2 linked regions of the Tamandua tetradactyla genome follow. The protein of the gene in region 1 interacts with the protein of each later gene in a pairwise test. Links are inferred from orthologs where the notes say so. Each region holds a gene or a part of one and is shown in the gene's direction. Other genes may lie near its edges.

Region 1 (7,578 bases):
TCCCGCCCACCGGCACCGCCCGGGGCCTGTGTCGCATCTCTTCCCCTTCCCCCAGCCATTCTCACGAGCACCCACCCGAGGCCCACGGACAAAAGCCTGTTGGTGCGCACAGACGCTCCTGAGATCTGGGTGCCGCTATTCCAGATCTGCAGCCGCAGAGCCTTCAAGTTTTAGCTGTTCTCTCCCTAGCCCTGCTGCTGAGGCCGTCTGAGCCCCGCGCACACCCCGGGCAGCAGTATTGCCCTGACTGCCCTATGTGAGGTCAGCTGCCTGATGGCCCAGAGACATGATCTGTACTGTTTCCGGCTGTTCTCACCGTTACAGTGGGAGCAACACTCTGTCTAGCTTTCTACCTCCTAAGTGGAAGTGGAACACCTCCACACCATCTTTTAAGCCTTCCTACCACCTTCCACCCACTGCCCATTGTAGGTCTGTCTTATGGCAACACCACTTTCAGGTACTCATTTCTGTAAAACTTGATAGCTTGAGGAAAATGCATATTGTTGTTTCTCACACTTCTGGGGGCTGGCTCTCTCTGCTGGTGGTTCTCTCCTGAGGTCTCAGGTGTGACTGCAGGTAGACAGAGGTGCTGGGACTGCAGTGGTTCTGGCTGTCAGCTGAAGCTCCTAGAGCCTGTGGACCAGAGCACAGCAGATGGTGGCCTCTCCCTGTCGCTGGGCTTCTCACCCCAAAGTGAGAGTTCCAGGAGACCAAAGCAGAAGCTGTGGACTCCTTCTGACCAACCTCAGAAGTCACACGTGACACTTCTGCCACATTCAAGTCAATACAGGTCCCGCCCTGATTCATTGTGGAGAGAACTATACAAGGACATCAATTGGGGGTCAGTGTCCCGGGGGAGCCAGCTTTGGAGGCTGCTAACACACTGCCTAACAACATACCCAAAAGGAGACTCTTCTCATTTAGGTCTTAAATATATCTAACTATAAAGGTAACAGAAGAAAAAGAATATTTTTGTGACAGAGTGAAGAAGGCATATCAACTAAAGTTTCAAAAGCAAAAATTCATAAGGCATGGGGGAAAAACAGGTGAATCTTATTACTTTAAATTAAAAGATGCCACCAAACAAAAGTAATTGTGGAAGAAGGTAGTGTACAGATGCGAAGAATGGGAGGAGATATTTGCAAGATCTAATCGACAAGCAATTATTATCTAGATACAAACTTCCACAAGTCAACCAGAAAAAGATGGAAAGGATATTAAAAAGCAGTTTACCAATTGTAAATCCCAAATGCTAACAAGCATACAAAGAGATGGTCAATATCATGAGTAATCAGAAAAAAATGCGAGTAAAACAACAGTGAACTACCATTTTATACTTATTAGCCTGGCTTTCAAATAGCTCCCAGCATCTCCAAGCATCTGTGTCTTGGTTTCATCTCTCTGCTCCCTGCAGCTCTGAGTTCTCCCTCATAAAGAGCTCCAGGGAAGGATTAAGACCCACTTTGAATGGGTGGGCCACATCTCCATGGAAACAACCTAATCAAAAGTTCCTACCCAAATAACAGGTCTGTCCCCACAAGATTAGAAGAACATGTGCTTTTCTGGGCAACAAAATAGTTTCAAACCAGCACAAGCCCCAGACTGGAAGCAACCCAGATGTCCAACAACAGGTGAATGAACAAACTGTGGCATAACAATAAACGATAAATAGTGGGACACTATAAAATAAATACAATGAATTGTATCAATAAAAAGGAAGCAACTATGCTCCAACAGGCTGAGTTTCAAAATAATTATGTTGAGTGAAAACCAGACACAGAAGAGTGCATATTGTATAATTCTGTGTACTCAAAATTCTAGAAAATGCAGGTGGTAATGGTGGAAAGATCAGCGGTTGACTGGGGGTGGGCTGCGGGGAGGGAGGAATCACACAAGGACACAAGGAAACTCTCAAGGCTGATGGATACAGTCAGAATCTTGACCTGGTTTCATGGAAGCATATATAATAGCAAACATCAAATTGCACACTTAAAATATGTGCAGGTTATTGCATGTCAAAAATACCCCCATAAATATCTATATCCAACAGAACGAAAGAGGACCCCACTACCATAAACCTTATAGAAAAAAATGTAGGGAAACATCTTCAAGATCTAGGCATAGGGGGTGGTTTCTTAGACTTCATGCCCAAAGCACAAGCAACGAAGGAAACAATAAGTAAATGGGACCTCCTCAAAACTGAATATGCCTGTGCTTCAAAGGACTTTGTCATAAGTGTGAAAAGGCAGCCAACTCAATGGGAAAAAATATTTGGAAACCACATTTCTGATAAGATTCGATATCCAGGATATATAAAGAAATACTACAACTTAACAATAAAAAAGACAAAAAACCTTATAAAAAATGGGCAAAAGATATGAATAGACATTGCTCCGAAGAGGAAATACAAATGGCTAAAAAGCACATAAAAAATGCTCAGCTTCACTAGCTACTAGAGAAACGCAAGTCAAAACCATAATGGAATATCATTTCACACTTACTAGAATGTGAACTATTAAACAAGCATAAAACAAACAGGAAAGTACAAGTGTCGGAGAGGATGTGGAAAAATAGGAACACTGAATTCACTGCTGGCGGAAATGTAAAAAGATGGTTTGGCGGTTCTTCAGTGAGATAAGTACAGACCTGCCTACAACTAGAAATCCTGCTGGTAGATATATACCTGGAAGAACTGAAAGCAGAGACATAAACAGACATTTGCACACTGAGGTTCATCGCAGCATTATTCACAATAGCCAAAAGATGGAAAGAACCCAAGTGTCCATCAACCGACGAACAGATAAAATGTGTATATATGTACAATGGAATATTACTCAGCAGTAAGAAGGAATGAAGTCCTGAAGCCCACAACCTGGATGGTCCTTGAGAACATTATGTTGAGTGAAATAAGTCAGACACAAAAGGAAAAATATTGTATGATCTCACTAATATGAGCTAATAATAATATGTAAACTCAGTCATAAAATCTAGACTATAGGTTACCAGGAGACAGAATGAGGGTAGAGAACAGGAAGCGCATGTTTATCGTGTGCAGAATTTTTAACTAGGTTCAATTTAAATATTTGGAAATGGATAAATGTGAGTGTAATTAACAGCACTGAATCATGTGTGTGATGATGGTTGGAAAGAGAAGTTTACATTTGTGTACGTCACTAGAAGGAAAGCTAGAGGTAAAGATATGGGACTGTATAATGCAATGAATCTCATGGTGGACAATGATTGTGAGCAACAGTGCAAGTATTAAGTTCTCTCATGAACTAGAACAAATAAATGTATGTCACTGTTACAAGGAGTTAATAGAATGGTATGTGGGGAAAATGTGCCTATTGAAAACTATGGACTATTGATAGTAATATTTTAATGTTCTTTCATCAACAATAAAATTGTAGCACACCAATCCTAAGGAATTACAAGGGGGGGAATAATGGGGGGAAGAGGTGGCATGGGTGTTTCTGGTTTTGCTTTTTGTAATGAAAAAAAATGTAATGAAATGTTCTAAAACCAACTGTGGTGACAAACGTAGAACTATGTGATGATTCTGTGAACCACTGATTGTATATTTTGGATGGGTTGTATGGTGTGCAAATATATCTCAATAAAGTTGCATTAAAAAATAATGCCCCCAGTAGCCATGTTTCTTGAAGATGATTGAATAATAATATACCTTTCACAATGTGACTGTGTGATTGTGAAAACCTTGTCTGATGCTCCTTTTATCTACCTTGTCAACAGAAGAGTAGAATATATGGAATAAAAATAAATAATAGGGGGAACAAATGTTAAAATAAATTTAGTTTGAAATGCTAGTGATCAGTGAAAGCGAGGGGTAAGGGGTATGGTAGGTATAATCTTTTTTTTTCTGTTTTCGCTTTATTTCTTTTTCTGTTGTCTTTTTATTTCTTTTTCTGAATTGATGCAAATGTTCTAAGAAATGATGAATATGCAACTAAGTGATGATATTGTGAATTACTGATTTTCTATGTTAATTTTTATTTCATTTGTTAATTTTTTTAATTAATAAATAAATTTAAAAAAATAAAAAACATAATGCCCCAATAAAGTGTTTTCTTAAAAGAAAAAGCTTGGAGAAAAAAAGAAGAAAGAAAGAAAAAGCTTGGGAATCTTGCGCTCAGGATCACACAGCTGGTAAATCACAATGCACCATTCAAACCCAGAACTCTGCATTCGGAGCCCGCATACTGAACCCCACGGCTCCCTGTAACAAAGGCACCAAGTACAGCTGTGAGAGGAAAGTGCTGGAAAGGACCACAGTGGCGGAGGGATCCCTCTTGACTCTTGAGCGTCCGTCGCAACTGTTAATCATTACCCGGGCCAGCAAGGCCGAGGCTGAAGAGCCGCCTAGTCCGCGGCTCGGGGCTCCTCCCGGCTCAGGGCTCCTCCCGGCTCGAGGCTCCTCCCTGGCGCGCCGGCTCCGCTCAGACCCGCGGACCTTTCCCGGGCTAGGTGACCGCTCCCGGCTCCAAGCTCCTCCCTGCCCTGGGGGCGGCCCTTCCGCGGCTCCGCCCGGCGCCTTGCCCACTGCGAGGCCTGCGGCGCTTTCCGGTGCACCCGATCTACTGCTCGCTTGCGTCCGCCCCGCGCTTGGACATGGTGAGCGGCGGGGTGGGGGGGACCAGGCGGGGGCCGCGATCGGGGCTGCGGGGTGCGGGAATCGCTCGAGGGTGGGCTGCCCCAGCGGGGCGCGGGCGGGAGCTAGGAGCCCAGCGCAGGTTCCGGCCCAGGCCGCCCTCTGTCCGTTCTCGACCCTCCAGCCTTCAAGGCTCAAGTAGGAGGGGCCCCCGGAAACCCCCTACGGACCTGCCGCGCGCCGGGCTCCGAGTTGGCGTCTCCTGGCCTAAGAATGGGAGCCTTGAGTTCACGCCCGGCTCCCACCTTACGGAAGTGCGCGGGGGAAACTGAGGCCCAGAGAGGGGCGGTGCAGCGAGGCGCCACACCCGGGAAACTGCTCCCTCCGCATCACAGTGCTGGGGTGGTGTGTAGGACCTGCCTGGGTGGATGGGGCCGTGGGACCTGGGGACGGGACGGGGTGGGGAGGGGCGTCCCAGTGAGCCAGCAGATACCGTACCCCTGAGAGGCACGGGTTCTGTTCTGTAGTTCTGAACGTGGAGGGCAGAAACTGTGAATTTGTCTGTTCATTTGCGTGCGTGTCCCCTCCTCTCCTGTCTTGCACTTCTGCCCTCACGCCCACTGCAGTGTCTGACTGGAAGGCTGCCCTCCATGCACCCCTCTACTGTCCCTGGGTCTTGGAGCCAGCCCCTGGAGCCTAATTTGAAGTCTGCCCAGCAGTGGGGGCGTGATCACATCCCTACTCCAGGCAGCCTTGCTCACCTGTGCTGCACTCACCCTCCCCAACCCAGCTAGGGAGGTGAGGGTGCGCCCGTGGGGACAGCAGGGAGGGTCTAGGCCCTGGAAGCTTTCCTAAAAACAGCCCATTTCTGATCCAAAGGCATTGGAAGCAGTCAGAACTGCCGTGGCAACTGGGGTGGCATCTTGAAGCTATGGCCACTGGGGCTGAGCAGTGCTGATTGTGAGGTGCACCAAGGCAGACAGTGGGTAATCAATACCCCCCTCTGCACACTGCCCCAGAGGCAAGAGGCCTGAACTGTGATCTGCCAAACGCACATGACCCTCCCCCCTCACTAATCCTGAGATCCCAGCGGGGTAGGTCATTTTAGCTCCAGAATGTGGGACTTGGGGGATTCCAGAAGACTCTAAAGAAGAAGGGGGTTCCCCAGGAGCTCACCAGTACCCACCCACCACTTTCAGAGCCAAAGGAGTAAACAATGGATTCTAATGGCTCAGCTGACTTCAGGGGTCTGGTTGCTTGGATACACAGACCAGCCTCATCAGCCACAGAAAAAGGGCAAGTTCTGAAATAGAGAAGAGCTTGGACAGATGATGTCGGTAAACTCTGCCATCTCTGTATTTATCCAGAGTGTAGTGGAGGGAAAGACGAGGCACCAAACCAGAACAGAAGAACCTATCCGAGAGAACACCTATTTTCAGGAGAGAGGACTTACCAGAGCATTACAGTGTGCCTCCAGTTCTACCCCAGACATACAGGGCCCATCCCAAGCCCATTGGCCCCAGGAAGTCTTTTTTAAAATGCAGATGACTGCTCACCTAATAACAGTGTAATTTACTAACTTGTCCCTCTGGTCCCTCAGCTGGCCCACTGGGAGAGATTATTGTCCCTTTTACCTATGAAGCCAAAAGAGGTGATGTGGGACAAGAGGTGATGTGGTACACAGGCACATGGCTGGGACTGGCAGAACTGGGATCAGTCCTGCCAGTTCAACCCAGGATTTCTGCTTCAAGCAGCCTCACAGATGTTAAAGTAACATGATCACATTCTCTCACCAGGCCTAGTTGCTTCATTTTGTTTTGTATCTTATCTGTTTCTGTCTTGGGTGGTTCTGTTGCAGGACTCTAAATTCTAGGATCCCTTGGGCTCCTGGACTAGATCGTCCTAGAGGACAGAGCTAACCTTTGCTCCCTGGTATTCTCAGAAGGTTCACCTCATTGTGAGGTTGTGCCAGTATGGGCTGCCTTGGGTCCACTTTGCATAATAGGTAAATAGGACAGGGGTAGGGTTTGTAGATCGCCCTTGGCCTTCCGGAGTTGCCAGAGCAGAGGACGGAAAGCCTAGTGCTGATTCCTTCACCAGGCTCCCAGGGATGCTGATTCAGTAGGTCTGGGACAGGACCTAGAATCTGTATTTGTCACAGGTGGTACACAGACCACATTTTGGGAACAGTGTCACTGAGTGGGTTGGGGGACAATGGACAAGTTATTTCCCTACTTGCCCTTTCTAGGCCTCAGTTTCCTTTCAATATACCTTAAGGTGAGTAAGGGCAGGAAAAAGAAGATTGGAGAGTTGGGGGTAGTTTTCCTGAAAGGCTGTGTTGCAATACATTTAAATCTGGACCTGATTTCACTTTTATTCCTCATTAATGTAATAGACCTTAGTTTGGGAGGAGGAAGGGGTCCTCTGAAAGACTTCTGGGGGGTGGGAAGGGGTGTTTCTCAGCCAAATGGCTTTGTGGTGATTTGTATTACCCTTAGGGATTTTCTTTCTCTGAGGGATGTGTAAAACCCAAGACTTAAGAACCTATAAGTGAATGAGCTAGGACTCCACCTCCTGAACAGGGCTAGTCTGCTGCCCTTTGACAGTGTCATCCAGCATCCAAGCACCAGTGGAGGCTGGCCAGATTCCCCCCAAAGCTCTGAGCAACTGTTTTTGGATCTGTAAAAGGAAATGCCCTTGGACCTGTATATTTTTCCTCTTAGGCCGGCAAAGCACACAGGCTAAGTGCTGAGGAGAGAGACCAACTGCTGCCAAACCTGAGGGCTGTGGGATGGAATGAGCTGGAAGGCCGCGATGCCATCTTCAAGCAGTTCAATTTCAAAGACTTCAATAGGGTATGGGGCCAGGGTGGGACATTTTTCTAACAAAGTCAGAACTTGTTCTTTACCTTAGATGCTCAGATACTACACTAATCTAGGGACTATGCCAATGGGAAAATTAACTTCCCT
Region 2 (7,561 bases), on another chromosome or scaffold:
ATACAGGTGGGTCCTGTCGCATGGTCTGGATTAAAATCAACAGCCGGGGTGGGTGCTGGGGGGGGGTGGGCAGTGCAGTCGAAAGGGCACCGCTCTTACTCTGGCTTTTAAGGCAAAGGAGAAGCCTTGTGTCCTGCCTGGACCTCAAAAAATTTTCAGACTTGCAGACAGCTACTCACCAAGTAGGAGAGGATCGTGAAAAAGTGCCCAGCTACCGTTTATTGAATATCTGCTATGTCCAGGGGACAACCATTAGACCTACGGTTCTCAAATTGTGCAGTGAAGTGGCTCAGGGCCACAGACCATTTTAGAGGATTTTTCATGGAAACACAGCGGCATCTGTTGGACGCTTTGCAAACTGCTAGCTCAAGGTGGAACACGATTTCGTGGTTCGCTGAAGATGCACTCCTTCCAACGATGTCATAGCGGTGTGAAGCTGGGCTTCTGGCAATTGCTGTGATTAAAAAGCAAGCATTGAGTGGTGCAATGGTGGCTCAGTGGCAGAGTTCTCGCCTGCCAAGCCAAAGATCCAGGTTCGATCCCCAGAGCATGCCCATGTCAAAAGAAAAAAAAAAAGCAAGTATCCTTTATGGACAAATGAGTAAAAAATAATATTAAGGAGAAAAAAAATGAATAAATAATGGGGGAGATAAAGGGTGAAAATTGGATAGATTAAAATACTGTGGGTTAATGAGAGGGAGGGGTAAGGGGTATGGGTTGTATGAGTTCTTTTTCTTCTTTCTATTTCTTTTTCTGGAGTGATGCAAGCATTCTAAAAATGATCATGGTGAAGAATACACAGCCATGTGATGATGTGGTGAGGCAATGATTGTATAATATGATTGGACTGCATGTGTATGGATATTTCTCAATAAAAAATATATTTTTAAAAAGAGCAAGTATCTTGCAAAAATCATTGTGGAACAGGAAATGAGGGTGTAGTGTCCAATCTGATTCCAAGGTTCGAAAATCTTCGCAGAGCCCCGAAGACAGATGTATCTTGTTGGTATGTTCTATTTTTGTTTGTTTGTTTTCCTGTTGGTAGGTTCTTAAGGTTATTTAAGAATGAATTAAAAATATTTTCTTTCAATGTATATGCCTTCTTTATTGTTTTCTCAAGTGACCACTAAATTGTTAGGGCATATATATTTATTGTTTTGACCTAACCGCTTACTAAACATGACTGTTGGTTTTTTAGTGGGGGGAAGAGGGCTAGAGATGTCGCGGAAATGTTGAGACACTAAGGGTGTCTTGAACCAAGAAAGTCTGGGATCCTTTCATTATACTCTTTATAGAAACTGTCTTAACAGCAACTCTACGAGATCCATATCTTTATTTTGTGGGAGAGGGAAGCCACCCAGCTGGGCAAGGTTGCTGGTGGGTATGCACAGTGAAATTTAAGCCAGGCCCTGCAAATTCTCAGGAAGGCAAACCGCCTCCCCCCACACTGAGTTAATTCCACTTTGCCCAGTGAGGGTGGGGAGGGCGGGCTTAGGTGACTGACAGGCCTTTTTATCCATCAGAGTGACTCTTCCCCCACCCCCCCACCCCCACCAGGGGAGGCCCCAGGAGGCTCTCCCCTCCCCCCACCCCGCCATCCCTTCTCCAACCAAGTTTACTTTCAGTCGCAGTCACCAGTCCAGCTGCCTGGCCTCCAGTACAACATGAGTTCAAAAGTTGTGCCAAACATCCAGCACCCCCCCTCCTCCCTTGCTCCTTCTCGGGTCCCTGTTCTAGGTGAAAAGTCACCGACTGCCAGCAGCAAGTTCCCTCCCTGCCGAGGGGAATAAGCCAGGACCGGGAAGCCAGGAAGGGACACTGATGGAGTGTGGCTTAGGATCCAGGACAGAATTCCTGGACTTGAGAATTCAAGCAGGAGGCTGCCCAGTCCCTGAGCAGCTTGCCACCAGTCGCACAGCTGGTGTCAACCTCTGTGGCCAGCCTGGGTTTAAAACCTGGCGGGGGGGGGGGGGCGGTTTCGGAGCAAGCCGTTTCCCTTCTCTGAGCGGGTTTCCTCCCCTGCAGCATGGGGATAATTACAGCTTCATAGAGTTGTTCTGAGAATCACATGCGTGGCTAAAGCTTAGCACAGAGCTAAGTAGACATCGTCAGTGCATAATGAACCTTACCCACTCAGTCATTCATTCAGTACATTTATTGAGCACCTACTATGCACTATTCCAGACGCTGGGGATACAGCAGTGAATTAGACAGACAAAAGCCCTGCTCTCACGGGGCTCACAGGCTGGCAGAGAGGGGTCCATAAATAATCAACATCATATGTGAGTCAATCAGACAGCGGGCCCGTCCAACAGAAATATAATGCAAGTCACATTTATGCCATTTTAAATGCTCCAGTAGCACCGTTAAAAAAGTTAAGAGAAACAGGTGAAAATACGTATTTTTTTTAATTTAAAAAGTTTTTAGGTTAAACCTTTTAAATGTTTTCTTATTTTTAAATTTAATTTTAAAAAACCTAACATAATATATCTCAAATGGCATCATCTTAAGGGCCGTAAGCCACAGTGCACGTCCTCATTAGCTACACCCAGTGTGAAGTATCTTGGACAATGATGAGAACTGTGCAAAAATGAAGAAGTAAAGCGAGTAAGGGGCTGGAGCGCAGGCTCTGTGGGGGTGGGGTGGGGTGGCGAACAGACAGAGAAGGTGGATTTGCTCTGACTTGGGGGCAGAGCTTCGGATTTTACCCATCGTTGGCCAGGCCCCTTTCCTCTGCTGGCCTGGCCCACATGGCAGGTGCCCAGGCTGATGGCTCCTTCTCTTCCTTCTTGGCCAAACCTGACCCTGACTCTGCAAACTCCCGCAAGATACTCAAGGGCTCTCTGGAAATGCCCCAGCTTGGGGAGGGGGGGTGGGGATGGCCCCTCAGCACCACCCAGCCTCCTCGGGGAAAGAGTGTGCCTCCCTCCCGGGAGACGTCGAATGCTGTGAAAGCTGTGGCTAAACAAGGGAAGGGGTGCGTGGCGGGGAGGCTCTCACCCAGGGCTGGGCTCAGGGAGAGCCGAGGGAGGCAGGCCGTGGAAGTGCAGGGCTGGACCCTGGCCTAATTTAATTTCTTGACATTTGTTCATCATGGACTTTTCTGCATTCAGGTAAAAAATATGTTTTATTGATGTATCTATCATTCATGCCCCGTAAAATTCATCCTTCGGAAGTGTATAGTTCAGTGGTTTTAGAGGATTGAAGGTTGCACAACCATCACCACAATCAATCTGAGAACATTCCCATCATCCTAAAAGAAAGCCCGTTAACAGCTGCTCCATCTAAGCCCCTTCTCCCCATCCTCCCCCCAAAGCTCCCTGGCAGTCACTATTCTACTTTCCATCTTTTTAGATTTGCCTCTTCTGGACATTTCATATAAAATGAAATCATAAACAGTGTGGCCTTCAGGGACTGGCTTCCTCCACTTAGCGTAATGTTTCTAGGTTCGTCCATACTGTAGCACGGACCGGTACTTTATTCGTTTTATAATTTCCCCATTCATCAGGTAATGGACATCTGAGTTGCTTCCTCCTATTAGGAATAATTCTGCTCTGAATTTTATATACAAGTTCTTGTGTGGACAAGTTCTTCATTCTCTTGGACTTTGCATTCCTTTTAAGTTTTTAAGACATTGCATCACAGTATTAATGTGGGGTACTGAATTTTTTGGTGCCCCCTTAAATTTTGTGCCTCTGTCTCCTTACAGAGTCCCGGCCCTGCAAGCCTCTTCCCTCGGAGGCTGTGTGACTTTGGGCAAATCGCTTCACGTCTCGGAGCCTCAGTTTCCTTCTCTCTAAAACGGGGGTAATCCCTACAGCTTCCCACAGTGTCAGGTAGAAACAATGAAGCAATCGGGCACCCCTCAGACCCAGCAGCCTTCCTCAAACACAGTAGACTGAAGTCAACACGTTTTCCCTATGGGGAGGTCTGGTTGTTGAGCCTGGGGGTGGTGGTGGGGGGAAGGGTGATCCCCCAAAATGAATGCGACTTACCCTGCCCTTGAGGGGAGCTGGCTCAGCTGCCCAGAACGCCTTTGCTGCTTTTTTCCCCCAAAAGGGGACGCGTGTTTATTATTATTATTTTTGCTCTCCTGCCTCAGTCTGACCCCCTGCAAGGTCCTAGGAGTGGGACCCAGCGCTGCTCACCCCAAGGCCTCCCTGGCTGCCAGTGCCCACGCATCCGGGGCGCCCTGGGGCCCTCCACCCTCTCCTCCCCCACCCCGCACTCCCGGGCTAGGCCGGGGCTCCCCGTCCGCCATGAGGCCTGCACTCCGCGCGCCGCAGGGCTGAAGTCCAAAGTTCAGGCCCTTCGCTAAGCACACGGATAAATATGAACCTTGGAGAATTTCCCCAGCTCCAATGTAAACAGAGCGGGCAGGGGCCCTGATTCACCGGCCGCCGGGGCCAGGGTTGGGGGTTGGGGGTGCCCACGGGGCTTGGCTCGCGGGCTTCTGGGGGTGCAGGGCGCCCGGTCTGCGCCCACCGGCCGGCGGGCGGGCGGCCGGCCCACACGTGACAGCGGAGCCATGGTGTCCACGCTGAGCCCGCTGCAGACCGAGCTCCTGGCCGCTCTGCTCGAGTCGGGCCTGAGCAAAGAGGCGCTGATCCAGGCGCTGGGGGAGCCGGGGCCCTACCTGCTGGCCGGAGGAGACGGCCCCCTGGACAAGGCGGAGGCCGGCAGCGGTGGCCGCGGGGAGCTGGCCGAGCTCCCCAATGGGCTGGGGGAGACGAGGGGCTCCGAGGACGAGACGGACGACGACGGGGAAGACTTCACGCCGCCCATCCTCAAGGAGCTGGAGAACCTCAGCCCCGAGGAGGCGGCCCACCAGAAGGCCGTGGTGGAGACCCTTCTGCAGTAAGGACCCCTCCCCTGCCCCCAGGTCCCAAGACGGAGCCCAGAGGGGCCCAGCCCCAGCTCTTGAGCAGCTGCTCTTCAGAGTTCCAGGTCCCTATGAGCTGCGGCCCTGAGCCTAGGTGTCAGGAAGGGGGACGGGGCCCACAGGGGCTCAGAGGGGTCCTTGCCTGGGGGAAGGAGACCCAGTCCCCGGGCAGCCCCTCTGCAGAGTCCTGTGCCTCCTTGAACCTGAGCCTTCAGCCCAGCACCTGGGAGGTGGAGACATGCTCCAGGGGAGCTCGGAAAAGGCGGAAATATCAGCAGAGCCCACAACCCCAATGCCTAGAGAGCCACAGGGTGGTAGAAATTTCTAGCCAGCATGGCCATTTCAATCCCCCAAACTCTAACTTCCCCGCCAAGGCCTCCAGGTATAGACTCAGGGCCCAAGAAGCGTGGCAGGGGAGAAGGGCTGAGGCTGGGGTTTGAGGGGCTTCCCTGGCCACCCTGGGACTCAAGACTTTCAGGCAGGGGAAGCCCAGGTCTGTCTTACCTGGGGAAGATGGAAACTTGGGTCAGGAGCTGCTCCCTTTCCTGCTCAGCCACAGGCCCCCCCACCCTGCCAGCAGGCGCCATTAGCAGCCTCCCGGTCCCGTACCCCTGTCCGCTGGCTGACTCCCCATCTCCTGGAGAACTGGGTGGGTCCTGTGCTCAATGCCTCCCCTCTCCTCAGCAGAGCTGACCTGGTTACTAATTACCCACGGGCTTTGTTATTTCTCTTTTGTTTTATAAATTTATAAATGGCAAAAGGCTCTGATAAGGCCTGTGATCATTAACTTGTAGGGACGGTGGCCTGCAGAAGCCTGAGCAAACCAAACCCCCACCTCCCAGAGGGGGTGGGGACGGGGGAGCGTGGGGTGGGGAGGCTCCATGACCTCCACCCTAACCCCCACCAGCATGCTGAGGGGTACGACCCCCCAGGTACTGTGCTGAGGCCTCCCATTCATAATCAACGTTGAGATCCCCCCCCCACCCAAGGAACTGTTATCCATTAGTATTAACCATCTAATAGTTGGTTATCTATTGATAATGCTGCGTCACAGATGGGTAAACTGAGGCTCAGCGAGTTGCTTGATTAAGGACGCCCAGGTGGGACTCCAAACCCCATACTCTCCGGTGCCCCGGATCTCTCTGACTAGGGGCCTGCGGTGCCTTGGGGGGGTCTGAGGGCCGGTCCCAAAGACTCTCTGCAAGGAAGCGTTTCTTTTCTGTCCAAGGTCCTGATCCTGGCTTGGGGTGGGGGAGGGCTGGTGGATCCTGGCCTTCCCGGTGACCTCACGTAAACCTCTGGGTCTGCCAGGACTCCCGAGGGCCCGGGAAGGGGACAGGAGAGCGGTCGGGGGGCCCCCGACTTGGCAGGAAGACGAGGGCAAAGGGCGCTCGCGCGGCAGGGAGGAGCACAGGCACAGGCCAGGCCAGGGCGAGGACAACCTGGGCAGGGTGGGGCTGGCCCAGACCCGCCGAGGGCCCCGGATGGGCGCGGGGGCAGGGGGTGCCAGGGGCCTTTCTTACCTGGCTAGGTGGGGCCTCTTGATCAGCAGCCCCTTTGGTGAGATGCCGGGGTGGGGGGGGAGGCTTGATCCACAGCTCTTGAGGAAGGAACAGAGGTCAAAGTGCTCCCTGGGGGCCAGTGGGGACCCGGGGCATTCCAGGAAGCCGAGGGAGACAGGGGAGGCGGGGAGGCCGAGAGAGGGCCCCGGGGAGACAGACAGAGAGGCCTGCAGAGGTAGCGCAGAGCCCAGGCCAAGGAGGGTGGAGGGACCCCAGGCCCGCTGGGGAGAGACTGCGGCACCCCAAGCTGAGAGGAGGCTAGAGTGCTTCCCCCGCCCACCCCGACTGGGTTTTCTTTAATGCTAACAGCAGGCTATTTACTTTCCATTTAAATTTGAGATGTTGCTATAAATTATCAACCAGCTCCTTGTTCCTGTGGAGTTTATAACTAACTACCTGGGTTACTTATTGTTCAGGTAACAAAAGGCAGCTGAAAACGCCCTGAGGGAAAAAAAGTGGGCCCTCTGGCCTCAGGGCAGGGGAAGAAGCCAGAGAGAAAGGTGGGGAACCTCGATGGACGCCGGGGTGTTGGGTGAGGTTGAAGCTGGACAAAGATGGTGCGGCGCAGGACTTTGAGTGGAAGCTGATTCTCTGGAGGGGACAAATGTCTGGGAGAAGGCAGGGGTGGGTGCCGGGTCCCAGAACTCCTTTGGGGTGCCCTGTGCCTAAGGTCACAGCAAGACCCTGAGTGCTTCCCTTAGTCTCCACTCTTAGTTCACTGCATGACCTTGAGCATGTCTCTTTCCCGCCTTCTGCCTCAGTTTCCCCACCTGGACAACAAATGAAATCCAAACTCCGTGCCTTGGTCCCCGCGCCAGCCTCCCTGGCCTCTTCCCTGACCTCTCTCTCCCTTAGTCATTTTGCTCCAGTCACATTGACATTGCTGTCCCTTGACATACCAAGCCGATGCCTGCCTCAGGGCCTTGGCACGTGCTGTCCCTCCTGCGTGGAGCCTACTTTCTGGATCTTACCATGGCAGATTCATTCTCCTTTCAGCTCAAATGTCCCCTCCTCAGAGAGGTGCCCCTTGACCATCCCATCCAAAGGTGGGCCCTACCCCTGTGACTCTCTCTCCTATTACCCTCATTTACTTTCCCCTGTCACAGATCACAGCCAT

Evidence for each region. The genes of interacting proteins can lie anywhere in the genome.
Region 2: the proteins of PCBD1 (region 1) and HNF1A interact in binary tests that used the Homo sapiens proteins (3 or more experiments, as listed by UniProt). The link is inferred for Tamandua tetradactyla from reciprocal best matches to the Homo sapiens genes PCBD1 and HNF1A.

Annotation. Positions count from the first base shown.
Region 1 is NC_135339.1:26,219,106-26,226,683, forward strand, and holds the start of PCBD1 (pterin-4-alpha-carbinolamine dehydratase), read left to right. Parts: upstream 1-4,505; 5' UTR 4,506-4,629; coding exon 4,630-4,632; intron 4,633-7,332; coding exon 7,333-7,464; intron 7,465-7,578. UniProt on the Homo sapiens protein: Involved in tetrahydrobiopterin biosynthesis. Seems to both prevent the formation of 7-pterins and accelerate the formation of quinonoid-BH2. Coactivator for HNF1A-dependent transcription.
Region 2 is NC_135331.1:21,255,711-21,263,271, forward strand, and holds the start of HNF1A (hepatocyte nuclear factor 1-alpha), read left to right. Parts: upstream 1-4,528; coding exon 4,529-4,857; intron 4,858-6,405; exon of another isoform or gene 6,406-6,760; intron 6,761-7,561. UniProt on the Homo sapiens protein: Transcriptional activator that regulates the tissue specific expression of multiple genes, especially in pancreatic islet cells and in liver. Binds to the inverted palindrome 5'-GTTAATNATTAAC-3'.